Saccharomyces cerevisiae S288C: one gene and its partners. Changing the gene in region 3 together with the main gene of any one other region gives a genetic interaction. Each region holds a gene or a part of one and is shown on either strand. Other genes may lie near its edges. The genes, in order: SWC5, GIM5, MAD1 and CHL1.

Region 1 (5,471 bases), on a different chromosome or scaffold from region 3:
AACGTCTTGAGTCGCTGGACTCGGGACAGGCAATGGGAAGCAGCTAAGGCCCTATCACAACGGGTCAAGAAAGAGTATGCCGCCAATTAGTGCACACACATACATATATTTTATATACTTACATATTTGGTTGCGTGGTATATAGAATCTCTCCTTTCGCTTCATGAATGAACTCATTCATGCGAAGTCAAAGGAAAAAAAAAATAAAAAAATAAAAGAGCGAACGGGAAGACGAGAGAAACATCAAGCGACCAAAGTAAAAGTCAAGAACGACTCCACAAGTGCGAGGGTCGCGACGTCTCTAACTTTAAAAACAGGCGTCAACCATCAAGTCCGTTTCTTGATGCCGCCGGCATTCTTCAAATCCCTCCAAAAAAAACGCCTCTATGACATAGGCGGTTAATAAAACTGGCCTTGAAACAACAGATGCAGTCATGGCTCTTCTCTTTTCCCAGCAAACGCCTTCCATTGCCTCCTTTTTTTCTCTTCCAGAACTCTCTCAGCAGTATTCTCACAAACACATCTCCTCCCCTTTAGCAAACCTCCATTTATATCCTGCGAGAAGAGCTCCTTCTCCTCAATGAGAAAATAAGCACAAAATAAACTGGGAAAAAAAATATAGTAAAAGACGCCAGCACGTTAACAATGGAACACTCTTATTGTAGACCAACCCCACCCTACACCCCCTCAAACCGAGGACACTTCAAAAGGAAAATCAACAACTTTGGCCGATACTTGGGGGATAAGCAAGCTTATCCTATTACATCAAAAAAAGAATCGTAAGACACCTTTCCTTGCAAACCAAAAATCATAACAAAGTCGAAAAACTTCCTCTTGCAGCGCCACCAGAAAAAGAAGACGAGCGAAGAAATCAACAATAAGAGCGCCCCATCCGCACTAGCACCCCATACCATAAATATTATCTCCCAACCTACTATAGCACCATTTCTTCCCATCGATAAAGAAAAACCAAATCCCGCGTTGGACATAAACGGCTCGGAAAGACAGGGAAGAGTATGAAGCAAAAAGCCAAACTAAGGGAGAAACAGAAAGCTAAAAAAAAGAAAATAGAAAACAACCAGAAGAAAACAAAAACAATAACCTTGAGCAACCGTCGTCTCAAAAACCAATTTCGAAAAACCATCATAAAAACGCCTTATGAAGAAACCATGAGCGAAGAAAAATAGCAGCAAAAAGTAGTGAGACCTGACATTAGCGGAAAACAACTTGCTTAAAAAGTCTCTTCCCGTCCATTTTATTATTTTGGGTGCCAAAAAATGTGTATTGTAACAAATTAAAAGGTAATGAGCCTCATTGAGGTCATTTCAGTTGTTACACTGAAAAGAACAGATACTACACTTGATCTAAGCCAAAAGGCAAAGAGATTCGTGGGGATTTAAAAAAAAAACAAGTAGAAACAAAATGAATAAATCTGATAACAAGTAAAGTACTCATCGATGAAAAAATGAATGTAGAGCCCTTTTTATATGTTTTCACCGAGTGGCCCATCGGAAACGGCAAAAAAAAAAAAAGAAAGAAAAAAGAAAAGAAACATAGAGCGTTGCTAGGTTTTTTTTGCCACCCACACCCATACACCCCATTACTTTGTCTGCAGCATCGTTATACACGTAGTGAAAGTGTGCAGGCCTCGGCGGTTAAAAAAATTTGAGCAGAAAAGCATGTTATTTAATACATGTAATATTTGTCTATGAAGCTTCGCTATCCTGCTGCAACTGCTGAGCAAGTTGTTGCCGGCGCAATTCTTTGTATCTCTCGTCCTCTGCAGACCCGACCCGCTGCAGAAATTCTTGCCGGGCCAAGAACCCATCCTTGTTGTGCAGCACCAATTCGTCGTTAAGTCCAGCACGGTCTACATAACTAGCCCAGTCCAGCTGAGATTTTTCTAATGTCGTTAGCTTGGGTCGTAGCCCGCCAGAAATGATCTGCTCCAACAATGGAGGCCTTTTCAGTGGCCGTCGCAAGTGTTGCCGGCTTTCATTGGACTTGGTCCTAACTGCTTTTTCCAGTTGAACAGGAGCAGCAGGCGCCTGCTGCTTAAATTTCAAACTGTTTAGATATTCTTGACCCTCCGCACTGCTGCGTGAAACCCATTTTTTCTCATGGACAGTTTCACCAGCAAACTTGTAGTTTCTTTCGATGAGGATTTTGTCCTCCTGTTGCGCGGCCGTTGTCGACCTAGCCTCCTTGGAACCGTCGAGAACAGAGCCGACTTTCCCTGAACTGCTCAAAAGACGGTTCTTACTAGCTTCCTGTAGCTCCTCCCAGATGCTGTTTACTTTTGCAGGGATCGATTCAACAGTTAACGATTCATACTTATGTGTTTTCGCATATTCTTCCTCAGCTTGCCGAGCTCTTCTAGTCTTGATCAGTCCGCCGCTCTCGCTCTCTATACGCGAATAGTCCACTTTATTTCTACCCTTATCTCTGTTCACACCGTCATCATAGTCGTCACCGCCATCGCTGGCATCACTATCGTCGCTACCACCACCTAATTTATCTTTTTCAGGCTGGAAGTCCTCGTCCTCCTCTTCTATGTAGCCGTCCTCGTCCTCGTCCTCCTTTTCGTTTGGTATAATCTTTGTCTCTACTTCTGGCATTTATAGGCTAGTGGGTTTTCTTTCTTGAAACAATATTATTCCAGTTTACGCCTTTTCGTCTTTTTTCTTACTTGTCGATTAATCCTATTCATCATCTTTAAACTTCGCTCTTTAATTCACTTTTTTTTGTCTTTCCCCGATATGGTACTTACACGAAATATCATGATACAAAAGAAAACACGTACATACTCGTCAAACGATAAATACGCACCTAGTCGTTAGCCGCATAAGTAACCTTTTTCATATTCAAACTTATCCATAGCCACATCCACTCTAACAATTTTAATCGTCCAGCGCGGCATTAAATAATCTTTCTGTAATACTCTTTAGCTCAATTATGTCCACAGAGACTACAAAACCATCAATCACTACTACACCAACTACTGTACTCGTTTCTCCCAACACGCTCAAAAGGAAAAAGGGTGAAGACACCAGCGAGGAACAACTGGAAGCAGAAATCAAACGCGTGGCCCTGAAGGATGCAGACAGCCACTCTGACAACGACCACGATTCCCCCGACAATGTTCCCTCTGATGTACATTTACGAATGCTGTGCTTAGTCAAACACGCTTCACTGATAGTAGGACACAAGGGCGCCACTATATCTAGAATAAAATCCGAAACCTCTGCTAGAATAAACATATCAAATAATATCAGAGGTGTTCCTGAAAGAATTGTTTACGTGAGGGGTACTTGCGATGATGTAGCCAAGGCATACGGCATGATAGTAAGAGCGCTGCTTGAAGAACATGGTAACGAAGATAACGGGGAAGACATTGAGATTTCTATCAACCTATTGATCCCTCATCATCTTATGGGATGTATAATTGGCAAACGTGGGTCTCGGTTAAGAGAAATTGAGGATTTGAGTGCAGCAAAATTATTCGCGTCCCCGAATCAATTGCTGCTTTCTAACGATAGAATTTTAACCATTAACGGGGTTCCGGATGCTATCCATATTGCTACTTTCTACATTAGTCAAACATTGCTAAACTTTCAGATGGAATCTCCGCAGAAAAATGTGAAAAGGTCCATATACTATCAGCCAACTCAGTTTAACTCAGTATTAATAGACCATAGCCAACCGAACACCATTTTCCATCAAAGAAACCACCAATATCATCCAAGCGATAAACTACTTTCATACAAACCCAACAAAAATTTACCAATATCATCTACTTTGTTGAGTATGGCCACACCGCAGTATACTACTGCTAGCGTTGCAAACGCAACGGCCTTTCAACCGAACTTCGTTATCCCTAATGTGACAGTCTTAGACGGCCCTGTTATCAGTCCGGCACCCGGCAACCATTTATTAATGAACTTTGTACAACAAGAGATATTCATAGATGAGAAATTTGTCGGAAATGTCATTGGCAAAGATGGCAAGCACATAAATTCGGTCAAGGAATCCACAGGTTGTTCAATTATTATACAAGATCCTGTAGAAGGCTCTTCGGAGAGAAGACTTACCATAAGAGGTACGTTCATGGCGTCCCAAGCTGCTATTATGTTGATTAGCAATAAAATTGAAATTGATAGATCAAATGCTGAACGTAAAAGAAGGTCGCCCCTCTAAATATACTGCTAGTCAATAAAAACACATAGAAAATAAAAATACAGAAACTACAAAAGGCAAAAAAAATAAAAGAAAAGGTAATAAATTGAATGAATGTAGATATATAAATATCAATAGAAATACGTACGCGGAATTATTTCTCTTTGTAACAAATTGATCAAAAGCTTTGTATTTTTTTTTTTTTTAGCTCGGCTGCGCGCTATTACAGTAATTACATGTAAATAAACTATTCCAAAGAATACAAAAGAAGAGCTTACAGTAGCCAGTCAAAGTCGCTGTGAAACATACACGGCGTTGTAGTCACAGTATGGAACACAATCTTTCACCTTTACAGCAAGAAGTATTGGACAAATACAAACAGCTTTCTTTAGATCTAAAAGCTCTGGATGAAACTATAAAAGAACTAAACTATTCGCAACACAGGCAACAGCATTCACAGCAAGAAACTGTATCGCCAGATGAGATACTACAGGAGATGAGGGACATAGAGGTCAAAATTGGTTTAGTTGGGACACTGCTAAAAGGTAGCGTGTACTCGCTTATCTTGCAAAGAAAGCAAGAACAGGAGTCTTTGGGTAGCAATTCTAAATAATGGTTTGGTGCAAGAAATTGATTCTGATGCTTTATTTTTTACGGTACACTACATTGTGCTGTGAGTTGTAATAATATAGTCTGTATATGCCAAGTGAAGAAAAAAACAATACAAACTCAAGGTGTATTATGAGGTAGGGAATACACATAACAATATATATATATACGTATGTATATTTAAATTGTATAAATGACGATCTTACCGTCTAACCCACAGGAAGAGACTTGTGTGATTTGGCCGTTGGATTCCGCAAAAGGTCTTAATTCCACAATGGCGTTTTCATGTGCACTTTCTTGGACATCTGTGCTAACTTTACCTTTCAAGTCTAATTCTTTAAACTTTCTCAATGCGGAAATACCGAAAGTTGAACTTTCATCATTATTACCACTCAGCTCGTCTGTATTACCAGATGCAGTTAAGGCAGAAGACTTGTTATTGTCTGATTTGTCTAGATTCTTCGCAAATTTCCAGCCTTCAGAGGCTTCGCTGAACAATACCGGATGACAAGAGTATCCTCCACAAACAATCTCGTGGTCGTTTATCCATACTAAGGACCTGTAAGGTAAACCTTCCGGAGCATTGACAGATTGCACTGGAGATTGGTAATCGACAACATTCAAAGTACCATCATGCGCTACATAAGCAATTCTTTCCATCTGACTTCTCCATTCCACATCATGGA
Region 2 (5,232 bases), on a different chromosome or scaffold from region 3:
CAATAACTTGGCCTGGCTTAGTCATGATTCTCGGTTTGATAAGCTCTTGATGAGATGCTCTGGATGTCCATTCTTGACCTATCGGCATACGTAAAGATCTTTCATATTGTTCTCTATTTTCGAATGGGAATGGTACCGCTGAAGATTGGTATTTCAAGTTTTTCTTATTAACTTTTTCATTTATGATCACATTTTGTAGATTCTTATCTCTTCTTTTGTCTTTATTAACAACACCCTTAACCTTTTTGATGAATTTACGCTTCTTATTTTTTGGTTTAGAACCTGCACCGGCCCATTCACCCCAACCAGGTAAAGTGGTATCAACTTCTTTATCATCTTCATCATCAATGACACGTTTCTTTTCCTCCTGAAATTCTGCTACCACGTCGTCGCCAGCAAAGGCTTCCGCAATGACGTCTTGCTGCTTGAACATGAATACATTATCCCCTTGTTCGTCATCAGAACCACCATATGGATCGACTATCTTTAGCCGTGTAGAATCATCCGCCGTCAACAAGAGATCTTCATCATCGTTTGACTTACCTTTCTTCTTTTTCTTTTGCTTTAGCTCAGCTTTCTCCATTTTGTTCATGGCCTTAACATTTTTAGAACTGTCTTTGTCAATAACGTTAACTTTGGAAGATTGTTTCTTGACAGTGTGTTCTTCATCACTTTCATTAGCTAACCAAGGATTAACATCTTTTGCTTCTTCATCCTGTTGATTATTCTGACCGTCTTGAAGAGGTTCACCATCACTTTCCTCCTCCACAATTATTGCGCCTTCTGCGTTAGTTCTTGCATTTTTCGATTGCCCACTATTCTTGGCCCTTAGTCGGTTTTCCAAACTTCTTGATTCGTCAACTTTATTCTCTTTTCTAGTGTGGTCATTTAGTTCATTCATGTCTTTGTTGGATTCCAAGGAACCTGGGGTATATATTCTTCTGCCCTTATTTATTTGAATATTCTCTCCATTCGTCTCTTCCTCGTCACTTTCGAAGAGCTTAATATCATCACCATTTTCAACGGCCCTTAATTGACGTAAGGTTTCTTTGTTCGCCTCTCTTTCTCTAGCTTCACCATTCTTCATAAAGGCCATATTCATTACGCCAGTTTTACCCAATTTACTCTTCAATGCTTCTGAGTCTATATTCTCTTTCTCCTCATTTTCAACATCACTTAATGTTTGCACACGACCATCCTCTTCATCATCAGAATTTCTATCCAACATTTTTGCCTTTAAACGTTCACCTTGTCTTAGCATCTCTTCCATTTCTTCTCTGGTTTCAGCGTCATTTGTCATACCATGTTTGATCATATCTTTAGCCCACTTGGAATTTGTCTTGTGTTTTAGAGTCATTCTTTCTTTAGCCCTAGCGATATCATGATCTTCGTTGTCTTCGTCGCTGGAAACAGCAGCTAGCTCTCTATTTTTCATCAATTCCTTTTTCTTGATCTTACGATATGTCTTAGATTTTATTTTCTTCAACCTCCTAGCTTTTCTTTCTTCTCTAAACATCAATTCTCTCATCAATCTCATTTCGGTAGTCCTCTTTCTCATCTCCTCGGGTGTCATTTTAGCAGTGCTCAACTCTTCAAACTTTGAGTCTTTTTCTGGGTTCGCTAAATTACTCTCTTGAAGAACTTGATCTACCTTCTCCTGTAATTCTGTTTGAGGAACATCTTGAGTTCTAGTGAAAGCCGAGGCGTGGTTATGTTCGGTGGGTTTGTTCAGCGGGAAGATTAAATGATCAGCCCTTCTGTTCTGTTGGACGATATCATTCCACTTACTCACTTCTTGCCTAGAGATCTCGTATGCTGCCTTACGATCGTGTCTTTGTTGGATACGTTGTGGTAGCGGAACTTCATACGTCGACGACTTACCCTTAAGCAAGTTAGCGTTTTCAATAACTTGCCTGTCATCAATAACGTTCATCATATCCGTCAAACTCAATTTCCCAGAAGCTCCACTAGCTGCATTTGCAGAGGGCAAAACATACTCATTGGCCTCACCTGAGCCATACGTATCTAGTCTCTTTGGAGCTTTACTTTTGGTTTCATCAATCAGTTTTGAGGTAATTGTATTCAATTCGATGTCTTCTTCATCTTCAGATATTTCGTCGAAGGGATCCTCTTCCTCTTCATCATCTTCAGATTCCGATTCGCTTTCTTCGGAACTGCTTGATTCGGAACTTATATCTGTATCTTGCAATTTTAATTGTGGAGAAGCGTCTTCGTCATCATTGCCGTTACTCTGTGCGGTTTTCTCATCCATGTCCCACACTTGAGACAGTGGCATCAAATCTTCTTCATCAATGGAAGTATACCCACCTTCATCCTCTTCTTCTTGGTAGTTTGCATTCTCCTTCTTGTCACGAATAGTTTGTGAGAATTTGGAATTCAAAATGTCATAGTCATCATCAGAGCCCAACGCTTCATCAGAGTTCAACTCCTCATCTTCAAACGACTCAGAATCGATATCATCTTCATCACTGTTAGTGTCACCTTTTGACCTTTTTAACAAGTTGACAACTGTACCATTACGACGAGCATCATGTCTTTTGTCATTGTCGCTGGAGTTATCGAATTCACCATTAATTTCTCTCTCAGCAAGTTGCAAAGCATCCAAAACTCTTCTAGAACTCTTGGATCTGCTCTTAGATTTCTTTTTTGCCATATTTAAGTTAGCTTATTTTGTCTTGAAGCCTCTTTTATTAGTATATAACAAGATGTTATTGAATGCACACTTAATGAATTTTTTCAGCTCATCGCCATAGGAATTTGAAAAATTTTCAATGGCCTTTTCCGGAAAACTACAAAGTGACGATAAATAAAAAATTACGTTGCATATAGATAAACGTATATCAGATGGCTACAAATGAGATATGAAAAATCGTAGGAAAAGCAAAAGAGTTACCTAGGCTGTAGACGACTCCTTTTTTTGTTGCTGCTGTTGTTGTTTACTCATCGCTTCATGCTGTCTAATAGCGGCTTGTCTTATTTGGGCCTCGATGGACAAGGAATACTGGGTCTTTTCCTTAATAATATCTTGGATCTGTACAGATTCTTTGTTAAGCTTGTCTACTTTCTTTTGGTAAAATGCGATTGCTGCTTCAGCGCTCTTTTCAACGTAATATCCTGTACCAATGTCGACCATGAATTTCTTATTGTCTACAATCTTACCTGGGATGTATAATGATGCAGATGCTGGAACCAGTAGTTTTTGCCCTTCATTTCCTGCTTGGGAGACTGTTTTAATATCATCAATACATTCTGTGAACTTGCCCTTAGCCATGGTTAATGCTTGCAAGGACTGTGTGAAATGCTGCAATTCTTGGTCGAATTGCTGTTTTACAGCATTCAGCTGCTCGGGATTTAGTTTAGTTAAATCGACTAAGTTTCGAACATGTAGTAACTTAAAAGTTAGTAAAGTGTCTGTACGGTGGCAACAACGAAGGAGCTATTCATTTACATACTTTTTTGAGAGGACATGGCTTGATTTTTACAGTGCTCTTTCTTGTTTGGGTCACAGCAAGATTTTCATCTAAGACACTTTTCTATTTAAAATCGTTAGAACAAAAAAGAAAATTGTAACTTATGAGACAGCCACGCAACACAAAAAAGGGCATAAACAAAGTTGGTTATCCTAGAAGATGAACAATACTGATCCTACTTCATTTGAAAGTATATTGGCTGGTGTGGCCAAATTGAGAAAGGAAAAGAGTGGTGCAGATACTACTGGATCTCAATCGTTAGAAATAGATGCATCAAAACTCCAGCAGCAGGAACCGCAAACATCAAGACGCATAAATTCAAACCAGGTCATAAACGCCTTCAATCAGCAAAAACCGGAAGAATGGACCGACTCAAAGGCTACAGATGACTATAATCGAAAGAGACCCTTCAGGAGTACTCGACCGGGAAAAACTGTACTAGTGAACACTACCCAAAAAGAAAATCCACTCCTGAACCACTTAAAGAGCACCAATTGGAGATATGTATCTTCAACAGGAATTAATATGATATACTACGACTATCTAGTTCGTGGAAGAAGTGTACTGTTCTTAACTTTGACTTATCACAAATTATATGTCGATTATATCTCTAGGAGAATGCAGCCCTTATCTAGAAACGAAAATAATATACTGATATTCATAGTAGACGATAACAACTCTGAAGATACCCTTAATGACATTACAAAACTATGTATGTTCAACGGATTTACTCTACTTTTAGCATTTAATTTTGAACAAGCTGCAAAATATATTGAATATTTGAATTTATGAACAATTCCTATTTTCTTTTAATAAATCTGTTCCATGCTTATTACCATCCTTTGTCATTTTAGCGCTTTTAGCACCGAATTGAATGGCCCTTTTTGGTTCTGATGATATTCCATCCAACTTCAAATACTGCGAGGCAACTTTTCGAAGGATTAATTTGTTAACCTTGAAATTAATGGGAATTTCTGCTGTAGATAACTTTATAACATATTCATCTAAAAATGGGTATCTCACCTCCACGCCATTATGAGCTATCACTTTATCATCACGATTCAGGTTGCGATCATAAATGTTGTTTATTTGCCTTGTAAGTTCCTCCACAAGTTCATGGGGTGGTTTGTTGGCAAACTTGTGATATCCACCGTAGAGTTCGTCTGCTCCCAGTCCGCTGAATAACACTATCCCATGGCGCTGATATGGCGTTCTTTCCCCATTCAGAGAAGTTAAGAAACCTCTACCTCTCGACGCAAAAAAAAAAGCAATGGCTATAGACAAGTCCATTTCAGTCTGTTTAGGATACATTAAATTGATAACAAATGGCTTCCATTTTAAATACTCATCATAAGGAACGTCAACTTCAACCAGTTTGATATCAACATTAGGATATAAGTTTTGTAAAGTCTTTGCACTGTTAATGGACAGTTTTCTATCAGGTGTATCACTGGGAAAAAGACCAGTCCTGGGGTTTTCGAAGGATACATTTAGAAGCTCTATAACTGGTTTTCCACATTTATAATCATTTTCTTGCAACACCTCGCAGATCAACGCTACTATTACTGAACAATCAATTCCTCCTGAGAATAGTACCGCAATAGGAGAGTTTTCAATATGCCTGGGATGTATGGACTCTACCCTTTTTTTTACAGAATCACGTAGCACAGCATATAAATTTTTAGACACCTCTGACAATGATGTGAAATTCAGATCTATCTCTGATGTCACTTCGTATGGA
Region 3 (6,758 bases):
AATAATATCAAATTGTCTGACGATGATGTTTTAGATTCTGCGCTTATTAATACGGAAGTGCAAAAGCCAATTTCTGAGTTAAACTCTCCAGGAAAAAGAATGAAACGAAGAAAGACGGTAGTAGAGCCTCAAAATTTACAAAAGAAGTTGAAAGACACAAGTCGGAGGAGAGCTAATAGAAAAATATCTAATCAATCCGTGATCAAAATGGAAGACGACGATTTTGATGACTTTCAATTTTTCGGACTTTCTAAAAGGCCAATTATTACTGCTAAAGATAAACTCAGTGAAAAGTACGATGATATTACCTCTTTTGGAGATGACACACAATCAATAAGTTTTGAATCTGATAGTAGCAGTGATGTTCAAAAACATTTAGTGTCTTTAGAAGACAATGGTATTCAAATATCAGCAGGAAGATCGGATGAAGATTACGGAGACATTTCTGGTTCTGAATCTGAGACTGATGCAAGTGCAGGGGAAAAGAAGAGCTCCAACCATAGTGAACAATCCGGTAATGATAGGGAACCTTGCTTGCAGACAGAATCGGAAACGGATATAGAAACATAGCCTATTTATGAATGAATGTAATATATGGCAAAGAGTATTATAGTATCGCATCATTTGAGAGAATACTTTATTTAAATGGCAAAAAATAGTTCTATGTGAGTGATCGAAAACTCAACTACTCAGATTGAAAAGAAAATAAATAAAACTAGGTGTTGTATGAACGTGAAAGAAATCGAGAGGGTTTAGAAGTAGTTTAGGGTCATTTTTCAGTACATTGGTTGGCCTGGCTTGAGTTGCAACCAGTGCCAAGCATCAGCGTTGGCCTCTCTCTTGTACATTGGTTGGCCTGGTCTCAAATTTAACCAGTGCCAAGCGTCGGCAACAGCCTCTCTTTTCGCCAAAGTGGTGTTTTGCTCTTTTTCAGCCGCCTCAGCAATAGTGGTGTTGATAAACAATAGCCCACTGGCGGTAGCGTTACTGAATGGTAAAAAAGCTATGTCATGATCACCTCCGAAATCCAAGTATCCAATAATGGCCTCGGCTGGCACCTGAGCGATATCTTCATCGGAACTAGCAGTGACAGAAACGGCCGCTAAAATAAAAGTGAGAAAGGTAGAAATGAATTTCATTTTCTCCAATATGTGAATTTACTGGAATTTGATGCAGGTGATGGTAGTAATTATCCATTATATAGAATATAAAAACAGATATAGGAAGGACACCTCAAACTACACCAGAATCAAGGACAGCTTTTATACATATAAGCCCTCGTCTCTGCGCTGTAAAGACACCAAGTTTCACTAGGTCCACGGCGACTCTGTACTGAAACAACTGAATATTTGAAACAGTAACGATGAATAGTTTGGCTCGATACCTTGAAAACAATCACTACAGGCGTCGCCCAGATGCGCACATCGTTGCTGGCATTGATGTACCAATGAAGAAATATAAGTGACAAACTTTATGAAAAGATAGAAAGAGGTTTACAAGATAAGAGAAAAATTATGCTGTGAAGATTAGTAATCGAAGTAACTGCTTATTCATTCAGTGCATGTTTTTCTAGGAATGCGTTTGATATGGGACATACATCTTACTATGCGACATTACCTTTTAGGGACATCAATGAGCAAGTGAACACTAGCAAATTAGGAAAACAACTTTAGCACGCCCAACTGCGTACTGAAACGCAGAAAACTATAGAGTTTCCCGAAACGGTGACAGCTGAGTTCGCTCAAATAAGAACAACACCATGTCTTGAAGCTTCTTCTATAGCGTAGAGTAAGTAGTGCCTTGTAGCCCTACCGTTTTACAATGCATGAGGTTACCCGCACTTATTATTTTTTTCTCTTTTTTTTTCTTAGCTATAAAAGGCAGATCAATGCAGCATTCATTGCTTTATTTGACTTTCCTTTACTATTTATTTACTTTCCATTTCTTATTTTAGTGTTATTTTATAACAGTAACGCAAATTTAACAGCCATTCGTAACACGTACAGTATCTCGTCGAGGTTGAACCCCTCCGGGGCGTTCTTGACCCATGAAGAATGTGGATTGGTGTTGCAATATATTTATTATTGGCTTGGACTGGAGAACAAATTTATCGATCTTGGGTGCAACAGTCTTTCTGTCGTCTGTTTTTTAGCAGATCTAAGGGTTTACCTTCGTGTGCCCGGATGAGGACCGTTGCAAGGATTGATAATACAACTATATACATCATTATCGTAGTGAATTGCACGAGTAACTTCTCGGCATGGGGTGAGTAAATTCATATTATGAAAGTAATTAAACTTACTACCTAAATAAGAGGATATCTATGTCTTATTGCTTGTATATATGAGTGGCTTGGAATGCTGCAAATACTGTTTAGGAAAAAGTAGATAACTAAAAGGTTTCTCCTTCCTTCGGTTGACGCAATTTCTTGTTCGCTGGGGTTGCCATTTCCTTTCTAAGATCAAGTAATAAAGTTTCCATGGTGTAGGCTCTTTTCCAGTCACGTAAGGTGTGGAAGTCAGTTTGGACCTCCCCCGTAGTTGGATTGACGCATGGTAGATTTATCTTGGAAATGAAAGTGACCTTTGGGGGAGAATCTGGATAGTTTGGGCCACAATCTATAGAAAGGGAATAGATTCTGTTTTCATGATTACTATGAGGGGGCCCTAAAATAGTGCCGTTCCATTTGGTCATGGTAATATCGTCGCTATCAGCTAAACCATAACTACATGATTCTGGACCAAACCCTTTTTCACCCTTTTCTAATTCTTCTAACAACCTAAAATTTCTTGGTCTGATTTACAATAGGACAGTGAGGGTACATTTCAAGAATTTGTTAGTATATGTTGAAATCCCTTTCAAAACTTATAATAACATACACTTTTGACATTTTTGTGTAAACGCTGCTTTCTTCTACGTTGCATATACAGAATAAGAATTTCACCACGACATCGAAATGTAATGAGCAGAGATTGTGTAGGAAGTTGATCTTATTTTAGTCTCTTATTTATCGCTAAAGGAGCAATGAAAATTGATAGCGTGTTACCCTAGGAATAATTCCTAACAATTTTTTCCATCTTAAAATCGAGAGGTAATAGTAAATAATGGATGTGAGAGCGGCATTGCAATGTTTCTTCAGTGCATTGAGTGGACGATTCACTGGAAAAAAATTGGGACTAGAGATCTATTCTATCCAGTACAAAATGAGCAATAGTGGTGGGTCCTCTCCTTTCTTGGAAAGCCCTGGAGGTTCGCCCGACGTAGGCAGTACAAATGGACAAAGTAATCGTCAGATTCAGGCGTTACAATTCAAGCTCAATACTCTACAAAATGAGTATGAGATTGAAAAATTGCAGCTACAAAAACAGACGAATATCTTAGAAAAGAAATATAAGGCCACGATTGACGAATTAGAGAAAGCATTGAATGATACAAAATATCTTTATGAAAGCAATGATAAATTGGAGCAAGAGTTAAAGAGTTTGAAAGAAAGATCAGCTAATTCGATGAATGATAAAGACAAATGCATAGAGGAATTGCGAACAACCCTCCAAAACAAAGATTTAGAAATGGAGACTTTAAGGCAGCAGTATGATTCGAAGTTATCAAAGGTCACTAACCAATGTGACCATTTCAAGTTGGAAGCAGAGAGCTCTCATTCGCTACTGATGAAATATGAGAAAGAAATAAAGAGGCAAAGTGTGGATATCAAAGATTTGCAGCATCAAGTGATGGAAAAGGATGATGAATTATCTTCGGTAAAAGCATCTAAGATGATAAACTCACATCCAAACTACTCCACCGAAGAGTTCAACGAGCTCACTGAAATGAACAAAATGATCCAAGACCAAGTTCAGTATACTAAAGAATTGGAACTAGCGAACATGCAACAAGCCAATGAATTGAAAAAACTTAAACAATCCCAGGACACTTCTACTTTTTGGAAATTAGAAAATGAAAAACTACAAAACAAATTAAGTCAATTACACGTACTCGAAAGTCAATATGAAAATCTTCAATTGGAAAACATAGATCTAAAATCGAAATTAACCAAATGGGAAATTTATAATGATAGTGACGATGATGATGATAACAATGTTAACAACAATGATAATAATAATAATAATAAAAATGATAATAATAATGATAATAATAATGATACAAGTAATAACAACAATATTAATAATAACAACAGAACCAAAAATAACATAAGAAATAACCCTGAAGAGATTATCCGGGACTGGAAACTTACCAAAAAGGAATGTTTAATTTTGACAGATATGAATGATAAGTTAAGATTGGACAATAACAATTTAAAGCTACTGAATGATGAAATGGCTTTAGAGAGAAACCAAATACTAGATTTGAACAAGAATTATGAAAACAACATAGTAAATTTGAAAAGATTAAATCACGAGTTAGAACAACAGAAGAGTTTATCTTTCGAAGAATGTCGATTACTGCGCGAACAATTAGATGGCCTATATTCCGCACAAAATAATGCTTTACTAGAGGTCGAAAATAGTGAAACACATGCGTCAAACAAGAACGTAAACGAAGATATGAATAATTTGATCGATACTTATAAAAATAAGACAGAAGATTTAACAAACGAACTAAAGAAGCTAAACGATCAGTTATTATCAAATTCCAATGATGTAGAAACACAAAGAAAAAAGAGGAAGTTGACAAGTGACCAAATTGGTTTAAATTATTCACAGAGGCTCAACGAATTGCAACTGGAAAATGTAAGTGTCTCGAGGGAGTTGAGTAAAGCACAAACTACAATTCAGCTACTACAAGAAAAATTAGAAAAGTTAACTAAACTAAAGGAGAAAAAAATACGTATACTGCAATTACGTGACGGCCCCTTCATAAAAGATCAATTTATCAAGAAAAACAAATTACTTCTTCTAGAAAAGGAAAATGCAGATTTACTTAACGAATTGAAAAAGAATAATCCAGCAGTGGAAACAGTACCCATTTCTGTTTATGATTCACTAAATTTCGAGTTGAAACAGTTCGAACAGGAAGTTTTTAAGTCAAATAAAAGATTTTCCAGACTAAAGCAAGTTTTCAATAATAAATCTTTGGAGTTTATTGACGTTGTAAACTCATTATTAGGTTTTAAATTGGAATTTCAACAAGATAGTCGTGTGAAAATATTTTCCTGTTTCAAACCTGAAAAATATTTGATTGCTGATCTAAATGAAAACACTTTGAAATCTAACCTTGATGCAGATATAGAAGGATGGGATGATCTCATGAATCTATGGGTGGAAGATAGAGGTCAACTTCCGTGCTTTTTGGCAACAATAACATTGCGTCTGTGGGAACAGCGACAAGCCAAATAAGTGTATATACATTTCTAATAGATAATAGTAATCGGTTTTATAATATGATAAACTCCTATCCGCTGACATAATTGTTGGTCACAAAATTCTTTTATCTTTCTTCATCATTGACCTTTTATGATTCCTTTGGTATGCAAAAAAAAAAAAATTGTGTTGAAGAATAAAAACAAATTACAGAATAAGTCACACATGATATAAAAAGAAGCCCAGTTTTTCATAGCTATTAAGGGGGCATAAATGCACTTATATGAGGGAAGGTGATTCTAATTCAAAAAAATCTGCGGATGTTGCTGTCCTCTCCATCATCCTTACGGGTTCGACCTTAACATTGATCTACACATATAAAAGGTATTTAACTCAATTCAAAAGAACAAATGATATACCGCGAAGAATATTTCGTAAACACTGGCTTTATGGTAAAGTCACGTCTGTAGGTGACGGGGACAACTTTCATTTCTTTCACATGCCAGGTGGTATAAGAGGTGGATGGGGATGGTTACGACCCGTCCCACAAATGATCAAGAATGATTCTACGGCAGAAAAGCTTGTTGGAGATAGCAGAAATATGAGGTTTTTCAATTTCAATTGGATTACGCATGGGAGGTCCACCAAAAGTAAAATACAAAAAGCTAAAAGCCAGTTCTTGAAGCTAAATGTACCTTACAAAAATAGGAAAAACCTGCCAACTATTCCTATAAGATTATGTGGAATCGATGCCCCAGAAAGAGCACATTTCGGTAACCCAGCTCAACCGTTTGGTAATGAAGCTTTAATTTGGTTACAAAACCGAATTTTGGGAAAGAAAGTATGGGTCAAGCCTTTATCTATAGATCAGTACAACCGTTGTGTAGCTCGAGTGTCATACTGGGACTGGTTTGGTGGGTGGAAAGACTTAAGCTTAGAAATGCTCAAGGATGGATTAGCGGTTGTTTATGAGGGTAAAGTAAACACAGAATTTGATGATAGAGAAGATAAGTATCGATATTATGAATTTTTGGCAAGATCTAGAAAAAAGGGACTGTGGATCCAGAATAAATTTGAAACGCCTGGTGAATATAAAAAACGTATTTGAGTTTTCGAGAGGATTTTTATCCATCATACTGCAGATTTTCATATTATATGTTCATTAGCTTTTCACGCTTCCTCTCGATATTTTTTTATTTATTTTCGGTTTCATTTTTGTACTAGTAGATAAAAATACATACATGATAGCAGTGTTATACAATTGATATTCGTAAATTTGGCATTCAGCATTTTAGGTAAATTCCGTGCCTCTTTTCTTCTTCTCTGATTTCAAACATTATTTGTACTGCGATGAATAAACTAACGCTTGCCAAAATTACAAATTTGAAACCAGATACGGTACAGAACATATCGCTTAGTAATTTTTTAGTACCGTCAGAG
Region 4 (7,105 bases), on a different chromosome or scaffold from region 3:
AATACGCTATAAACAAAAAATCCGAATTAACGAATAGTTTTGATTTAGCTTGCGTATTATCTATAGCGGCAATACTTAAAAGAGAAGCGCCAATTTACAACGGCACGTTATTGATGAAGAACAGCTTTCTCGAGGAAACGTTCAATTTAGAAAGCTTCACGGCTGACCCTGAAACTGTAACATCCACCACGAATAACACGTGGAAGAGGTGTGGTGTCACTTTGCTTCCAATACTTACAACGCATGTAAAGATATGTCCCGTGAGCAAACAACGGGTAATAGACATAAAACGAGATGATTTGAATGATTATGGTTGGTTTACAAGGGGTCTATTAGAAAGATTTAATGAAATAAGCGTATATTGTGGAACAACGCTGGAAGTTATGTAAGGATACAAGAGACAAAGAATTACTTGCAGATATAAAAAGTAGTCATAAATATCAGTTTAGTTTACTATAATATATAGTAGTAATCACAGTATACACGTAAACGTATTCCTTTTAGCGTGAATTCAGGCTGCGCATTGAAAAAAACTTCCGTGTTGAAGAAATGACCTGATGTGTTGTATGTTCGGAATTGATAGAATCTTGCACCCAACGTGACAATTTTTTCCGGAAATTGGGCCTATTATATCGCACATCGAGCAAGTAAATGTTTGCGTAATCATTTGCATGCCGTATAGCACGTCCAACACTTTGGTTGACAGCTTTCATACAAATATTCTCCATAAACTCCTTTGTTGCTCGTGAAGCTTCCTCTTCCGTTCCGCCTGACTTCATTATTTTAGCGGCCAAATGCTTCCTTTTAACTATTAGTTCTCCACTAAAAATATTTGGGAACGGCAGGCCCACCATCACCACAGCCCTACATAAATCATCTTGAAAATTTATTCCCTCTGATAATTTTCCCCCAACAATAGCCAGCAAAAGAGACCCCCTTCCCTCTGCTACCGAATCAGAATATCCAGATAGAATATCATCGCCGTCTTTTGCTTCATAGAATATTTTCCTCACGTTATTTAATGTAGCAAACCTGTCATTCTGTTTCCAGCACTGAATTACATGCGCCAAATACTGATAGCTTGGAAAAAAAGCTACAATACCACCCTTTTTAGGAACTGCTTTGCTCAGATCAACAAAAAATTGAAAAAGATGATTATTTACAAGGGAGGGAGACATTCTTTTTTCGAATGTGAACTCAAGCTCAGGCTGGTTTGTGATATAAGTTTGCAAATTCTCTTTCGGTATAACATGATTGCACGACAAGGTCGTAATGTCTTCAGAAGGAACTTCAGGTAGCAAATTCGACAAAAACTCTGACATGGGTTCCATTGTCCCACCTGCAAGGACTACACATTTTGCTTGATTTAGTATTGACTCAAAAGGTTTACTTGGTTCTAGAAGCATGTACTTTATTGAATAATTTTTCTCAAAAAAAAATTGTCCTTCTGACGTCAAATTTGTCAAACAATATAGGAATTGAGAAACCTTGAAAAGTAATGGCTGAGAAGAAACTGATTTTTTATGCGTTTCTTTTATTGGATTTTCATTTTTTGACGATTCTTCCTCTTTTAGTGCCTGGTTATACGTGTCAATTTTGTAAGCAATTTTGGAGACTTTTATATATCTCAATAGTTTATGAATGTTTAGGGTATCGATGTTACTTCCTGTGAACATATCGTTAGGATCTATTTCTTGTCCTATCTTCTTGAAATTTTTAACTATAAATTGAATCAGAGTCATCAAAAGTGAATTGAGCTTTAATAGATTTACTCTGTTACCGGGATTGAGCCTGGACTTAAATTTGTTGAAATAAGTTACTATCCCCTTATGGCAATTCTTTAAGTCCTCCAACGAGATCTGAGAGGAATATATAGAATTTATTGTTTCTATCAAATTATGAGCCTCATCAATAATTACTATAGAATTTTCAAGGTTTATTTGAAGACTTGAACGGGTGGACTCAGAAAGTAAGTATTGATATGGCAAAGTCACTACCTCCGCAATAGGAAGTGCCTCCCTCGAGGCGTAATAGGGACAAATTCCCAAAGATTTTCCCAGGGGAACTAAATCTTCAATATCTTGAATTTCTGAAAAAATCATATCTCTGAGAGCTAACGTATCAGGACAATGACGCCATTCGTTTGTATTTTGATAAAAGATACATCCCTCTTTACTATGTCTAAGGTCCGCACATGCGTCATTAATAGCTTCCAATGTTTTCCACTTCATCACTTTTGGATTAATACAAAGCTGCTTTTTCGAAGCAAGTGGTAAGTACTTCACCTTTTCATCTGGGACCTTATCCCTAAAGGATGATGGGAACGAGGGTAATCTTAACTGAGAAGTAAATTGACCTAATTGTGAATAAGTTCTGGATGCATAATATATTTTCACTGGATTTTGATTTGTAACGTCAAAGCGATCGCCATTGTTTGGATCTCTCGAAACCTTCCCATCAATTTTGTCTAAAAGTGTTATTATTTGTGAATTTAGTTCACTCAATTTGTAATCTTTATCAGATATTCTTCCTCCTCTTGTGCTTTTGGAGGTATCATTGTTTTCAGAATCTGATTCGTACGGGCGCGGAATAAAATCTTGTTCTTCAAGTGATACATCAAGGTGCCTAGCGCCTTTGCGTTTCTTTCTTAATGGATCAACTGATTTATATCTTCCATGTTCTTTATCTAAATCACACATAGTTTTCAACTGCTTACAACTGGTCGTGTTAATTTCGTTTAAATGCTTCTCATAATCATTTAGCAAATCCACCTTTTCTTGTAAAACAGACTTTCGATAAGTGTCAATAACCCAGTCTGGCTCGTCATCGCTTAGGTTTTCACTATCATCTTCATTCGTTTTGATGTTAGTTTCCATGCGGGTGAAAATATCTGCTTTATTCATTCTCAACCAAGTCATCGTGGCACAGATTAAGGACAGCGTCTTGCCTGTCCCAGTGGGGCTTTCCAGGATAGCTATTTTCTTCCCTTCGGATAGCACTCTGTATACAGTTTCCATTAACTGTACCTGAATATCATAGGGCTTATAAGGATGATAGAAAGTCTCCGAATATTCCTTTTTGTCCATTTTTTGGACTAGTGTGACTGTTTTTAGCCTGGTTTTCTACTCTTTTGGGTTTTAAGGAAACAAACTGAAGTTGCAGTAGTGCCCTCAACTTAGCATGTGCTGATTACACTAATGATGAATTTAAATATGTCAGTGATAATGTCATCAACTGTCAGGTAACAAATGAGCCTCTACCTCAACTCTGTGGTTACGATTAAAATTGGATTTTCAATAAATAGCCTGAGTTTTAACCTTTTCAACAATTGCGACTTCTCTTCCGGACATTAACTAATGCACTATATCTATTGTATATTTGGACGCGTTTGAACTTTTCATTCATGCTGCGGAAGGATAGAAAAATGAAATTTCGCCTGAAAAATAGTTTTAAAAGAATCCGATGGCAAATTGAAAAGAAAGTTGCTACTTATTATCCGGTCTAAGAAGTCAGGCAGGCAAGAGATTAATAGCGATGAAGCAAAGAATTAGTGCCCTAGATTTACTGCTGTTGGCTAGAGAGCTGAAACAGGATTTGGAAGGCTACCGATTGAGTAATATATATAACATTGCCGATTCCTCAAAACAATTTTTGCTGAAATTTAATAAACCAGATTCTAAACTCAATGTTGTTGTCGATTGTGGCTTAAGAATTTACTTAACTGAATTTAGTAGGCCAATACCTCCAACTCCTTCCGGCTTTGTTGTCAAACTAAGGAAGCATCTTAAAGCTAAACGGTTAACAGCTTTAAAGCAAGTAGACCAGGATAGAATTCTTGTTCTACAATTTGCTGATGGCCACTTCTATTTAGTTTTGGAATTTTTCAGTGCAGGGAATGTCATTCTTCTAGATGAGAACAGAAGAATTATGGCTTTGCAAAGAGTCGTTCTAGAGCATGAAAATAAGGTCGGACAAATTTATGAAATGTTTGACGAATCACTTTTTACCACAAATAACGAGTCTGCTGATGAATCCATAGAAAAAAACAGAAAGGCAGAATACACCTCTGAACTAGTCAACGAGTGGATAAAAGCAGTTCAAGCCAAGTATGAATCAGACATTACTGTTATTAAGCAACTTAACATTCAAGGGAAGGAGGGCGCTAAAAAAAAAAAAGTGAAAGTACCTTCCATCCATAAACTGCTGCTTTCGAAAGTCCCTCATTTGTCTTCAGATTTATTATCAAAGAACCTTAAGGTATTCAATATCGACCCTTCAGAGTCTTGTTTAAATCTTTTGGAGGAAACAGACTCACTCGCCGAATTGCTAAACAGTACTCAGTTAGAATATAATCAACTTTTAACTACCACCGATAGAAAGGGTTACATTTTGGCCAAAAGAAATGAAAATTATATCTCTGAAAAAGATACTGCCGATTTGGAATTTATTTATGATACATTCCATCCCTTTAAGCCATATATAAATGGGGGAGACACTGACTCTTCTTGTATCATTGAAGTTGAAGGTCCTTACAATAGGACGCTAGACAAATTTTTCTCAACAATAGAATCCTCTAAGTATGCTCTACGTATACAAAATCAGGAATCGCAAGCGCAAAAGAAAATCGATGATGCTCGTGCCGAAAATGATAGAAAAATACAAGCTTTATTAGACGTCCAAGAACTAAATGAAAGGAAAGGCCATCTCATAATTGAAAATGCACCCTTAATAGAGGAAGTTAAGCTTGCTGTTCAGGGTCTAATCGATCAACAAATGGACTGGAACACTATTGAGAAACTAATTAAAAGTGAACAAAAAAAAGGCAACAGAATTGCTCAGCTTTTGAACTTGCCTTTGAACTTGAAACAGAACAAAATTAGCGTCAAGCTTGATCTCTCTAGCAAGGAACTCAACACTTCTTCAGACGAGGACAATGAATCAGAAGGCAATACTACTGATAGTTCTAGTGACTCAGACTCAGAAGACATGGAGAGTTCGAAGGAGAGGAGTACAAAAAGTATGAAAAGAAAATCTAATGAAAAGATAAACGTTACAATTGACCTTGGTTTATCAGCTTATGCCAATGCCACTGAATATTTCAATATCAAAAAAACAAGTGCTCAAAAGCAGAAAAAAGTCGAAAAGAATGTCGGCAAGGCTATGAAGAATATTGAAGTCAAAATTGATCAACAATTGAAAAAAAAGCTAAAAGATTCTCACAGTGTCTTAAAAAAGATCCGCACTCCTTACTTTTTTGAAAAATATAGTTGGTTTATTTCAAGTGAAGGATTTTTGGTCATGATGGGTAAAAGTCCGGCTGAGACAGATCAAATCTATTCAAAATATATTGAAGATGATGATATTTATATGTCCAATAGTTTTAACTCTCATGTATGGATCAAAAATCCAGAAAAAACAGAAGTTCCACCGAACACTTTGATGCAAGCGGGTATACTATGCATGTCCTCAAGCGAGGCTTGGTCGAAGAAGATATCTTCTTCTCCATGGTGGTGCTTTGCAAAGAATGTTAGTAAATTCGATGGCTCTGATAACTCCATTCTGCCAGAAGGTGCCTTTCGGTTGAAAAATGAGAATGATCAAAACCATTTACCCCCTGCTCAACTTGTGATGGGTTTTGGATTTTTATGGAAAGTGAAAACCAGTGGAAATGAGGATAATGGTGATGATGACGAAGAAGAAGAAGAAGAAGAAGAGGAAGAAGAAGAAGAAGAAGAAGAAGAAGAAGAAGAAGAAGAAGAAGAAAAAGAAGAAGAAGAAAAAGAAGAAGAGCAACAGCAAGATGAAGACGATAGTAACGAGGTCAATGGGTTAGAGAAGGGTGGAGATTCAAACGATAGCACGAAAAACAACAGTTTTGAACACGATAATCTTGAAAAAGACATCGAAAAGCATTGCACCATATCATCCGATACCGACTCTGATTCTGGAAATGCTAAAGCCAAAAATGACAATAGCAGTACGCAGCGTATCCTTGATGAACCAGGTGTTCCGATATCTTTAATCGAAAACATAAACAGTAACGTCCGTGGTAAAAGAGGAAAATTGAAGAAAATTCAAAAGAAATACGCCGACCAGGATGAAACTGAACGTCTCTTGCGTTTGGAGGCCTTGGGTACTTTGAAGGGTATCGAAAAGCAGCAACAAAGGAAGAAAGAAGAAATAATGAAGCGAGAAGTTAGAGAAGATAGAAAGAATAAACGCGAGAAACAAAGAAGACTACAGGCTTTAAAATTCACCAAAAAAGAGAAAGCAAGAGTGAACTATGATAAACACAAGTCCGAATTAAAACCATCTCTCGATAAGGGCGATGTGGTTGATGATATTATACCAGTATTTGCCCCCTGGCCTGCGCTTTTGAAATATAAATACAAAGTCAAAATACAACCGGGAAGTGCGAAGAAAACTAAGACTTTAACTGAAATTTTACATTATTTCAAGAGTAGACCACTAGACGGTTCTTCAACTGACAACGAAATGGATTGGCCCCAAGAACATGAAATGATTAAAGGCTTGAAGGAACAGGACTTGGTTCTTCTGCTCTGTGTCGACAAGTTAAAAGTAACAATCGCTGGGCAGAAATCCACCAAGAACGGTGGTAACTCTTCGAAGAAGGGCAAAAAAAAACGCTAAATCATATGAGATGAAAAGAAAATAGACAGCAATTATAATTTTTTCATTATTTTTCATCACAGACCAACGAGAAGAATAAAATGATTAGCATGAGGTGACAATCATTTCTAAATGAGCAACATATACTTATATATATAAGTAGATACATATATATGGAAGGGAGAAAGTAAGACACTGCATATATACCATATAAGACCAGCTAAAATTTTCTTCTATCCGCTTTGCCTTGTGATCATAAGCCTTGCTGTAACCTTTCTTGAAACTTGCTCTTTGCGAAACCCCACGCGCCTAAGAAACCCTTATCCAAATCTAATGCCATTTGGGGTTCGTTCGTAGGTGGTTTAGAAACTCTGGATGCAATAGTGTTAGAGTCAGTTTCGAGGATAACACCATTATCAATGGTTTCATCAATAGCTAATAAAACCATATCATAGTTTTCTTGGATGTTTTTTTT

The links.
Region 1: mutations in MAD1 (region 3) and SWC5 together harm fitness more than expected from each alone (negative genetic interaction), as found in Saccharomyces cerevisiae (5 studies listed by BioGRID, with this or other methods).
Region 2: mutations in MAD1 (region 3) and GIM5 together harm fitness more than expected from each alone (negative genetic interaction), as found in Saccharomyces cerevisiae (7 studies listed by BioGRID, with this or other methods).
Region 4: mutations in MAD1 (region 3) and CHL1 are lethal when combined (synthetic lethality), as found in Saccharomyces cerevisiae (7 studies listed by BioGRID, with this or other methods).

Annotation. Positions count from the first base shown.
Region 1 is NC_001134.8:680,473-685,943, forward strand, and holds SWC5 (Swc5p), read right to left. Parts: upstream 2,619-5,471; coding exon 1,707-2,618; downstream 1-1,706. Other genes in the region: COQ21 (Coq21p), read left to right, coding at 1-90; telomere maintenance protein PBP2, read left to right, coding at 2,956-4,197; DAD3 (Dad3p), read left to right, coding at 4,505-4,789; ARC40 (Arc40p), read right to left, coding at 4,966-5,471. UniProt on the Saccharomyces cerevisiae protein: Component of the SWR1 complex which mediates the ATP-dependent exchange of histone H2A for the H2A variant HZT1 leading to transcriptional regulation of selected genes by chromatin remodeling. Involved in chromosome stability.
Region 2 is NC_001145.3:80,532-85,763, reverse strand, and holds GIM5 (Gim5p), read right to left. Parts: upstream 3,490-5,232; coding exon 3,474-3,489; intron 3,391-3,473; coding exon 2,915-3,390; downstream 1-2,914. Other genes in the region: UTP14 (Utp14p), read right to left, coding at 1-2,674; DNA repair protein RAD10, read left to right, coding at 3,651-4,283; YML096W (putative asparagine synthase), read right to left, coding at 4,278-5,232.
Region 3 is NC_001139.9:344,015-350,772, forward strand, and holds MAD1 (coiled-coil domain-containing protein MAD1), read left to right. Parts: upstream 1-3,104; coding exon 3,105-5,354; downstream 5,355-6,758. Other genes in the region: LIF1 (Lif1p), read left to right, coding at 1-570; MF(ALPHA)2 (Mf(Alpha)2p), read right to left, coding at 777-1,139; YGL088W (uncharacterized protein), read left to right, coding at 1,822-2,187; E2 ubiquitin-conjugating protein MMS2, read right to left, coding at 2,392-2,794, 2,880-2,890; LCL3 (Lcl3p), read left to right, coding at 5,602-6,426; GUP1 (O-acyltransferase), read right to left, coding at 6,602-6,758. UniProt on the Saccharomyces cerevisiae protein: Central component of the spindle assembly checkpoint. Thought to recruit MAD2 to unattached kinetochores. During checkpoint activity, MAD2 is relayed from the MAD1-MAD2 complex to the mitotic checkpoint complex (MCC).
Region 4 is NC_001148.4:535,366-542,470, reverse strand, and holds CHL1 (DNA helicase), read right to left. Parts: upstream 3,087-7,105; coding exon 501-3,086; downstream 1-500. Other genes in the region: transcription factor TFIIIC subunit TFC8, read left to right, coding at 1-389; RQC2 (Rqc2p), read left to right, coding at 3,535-6,651; RET3 (coatomer subunit zeta), read right to left, coding at 6,884-7,105.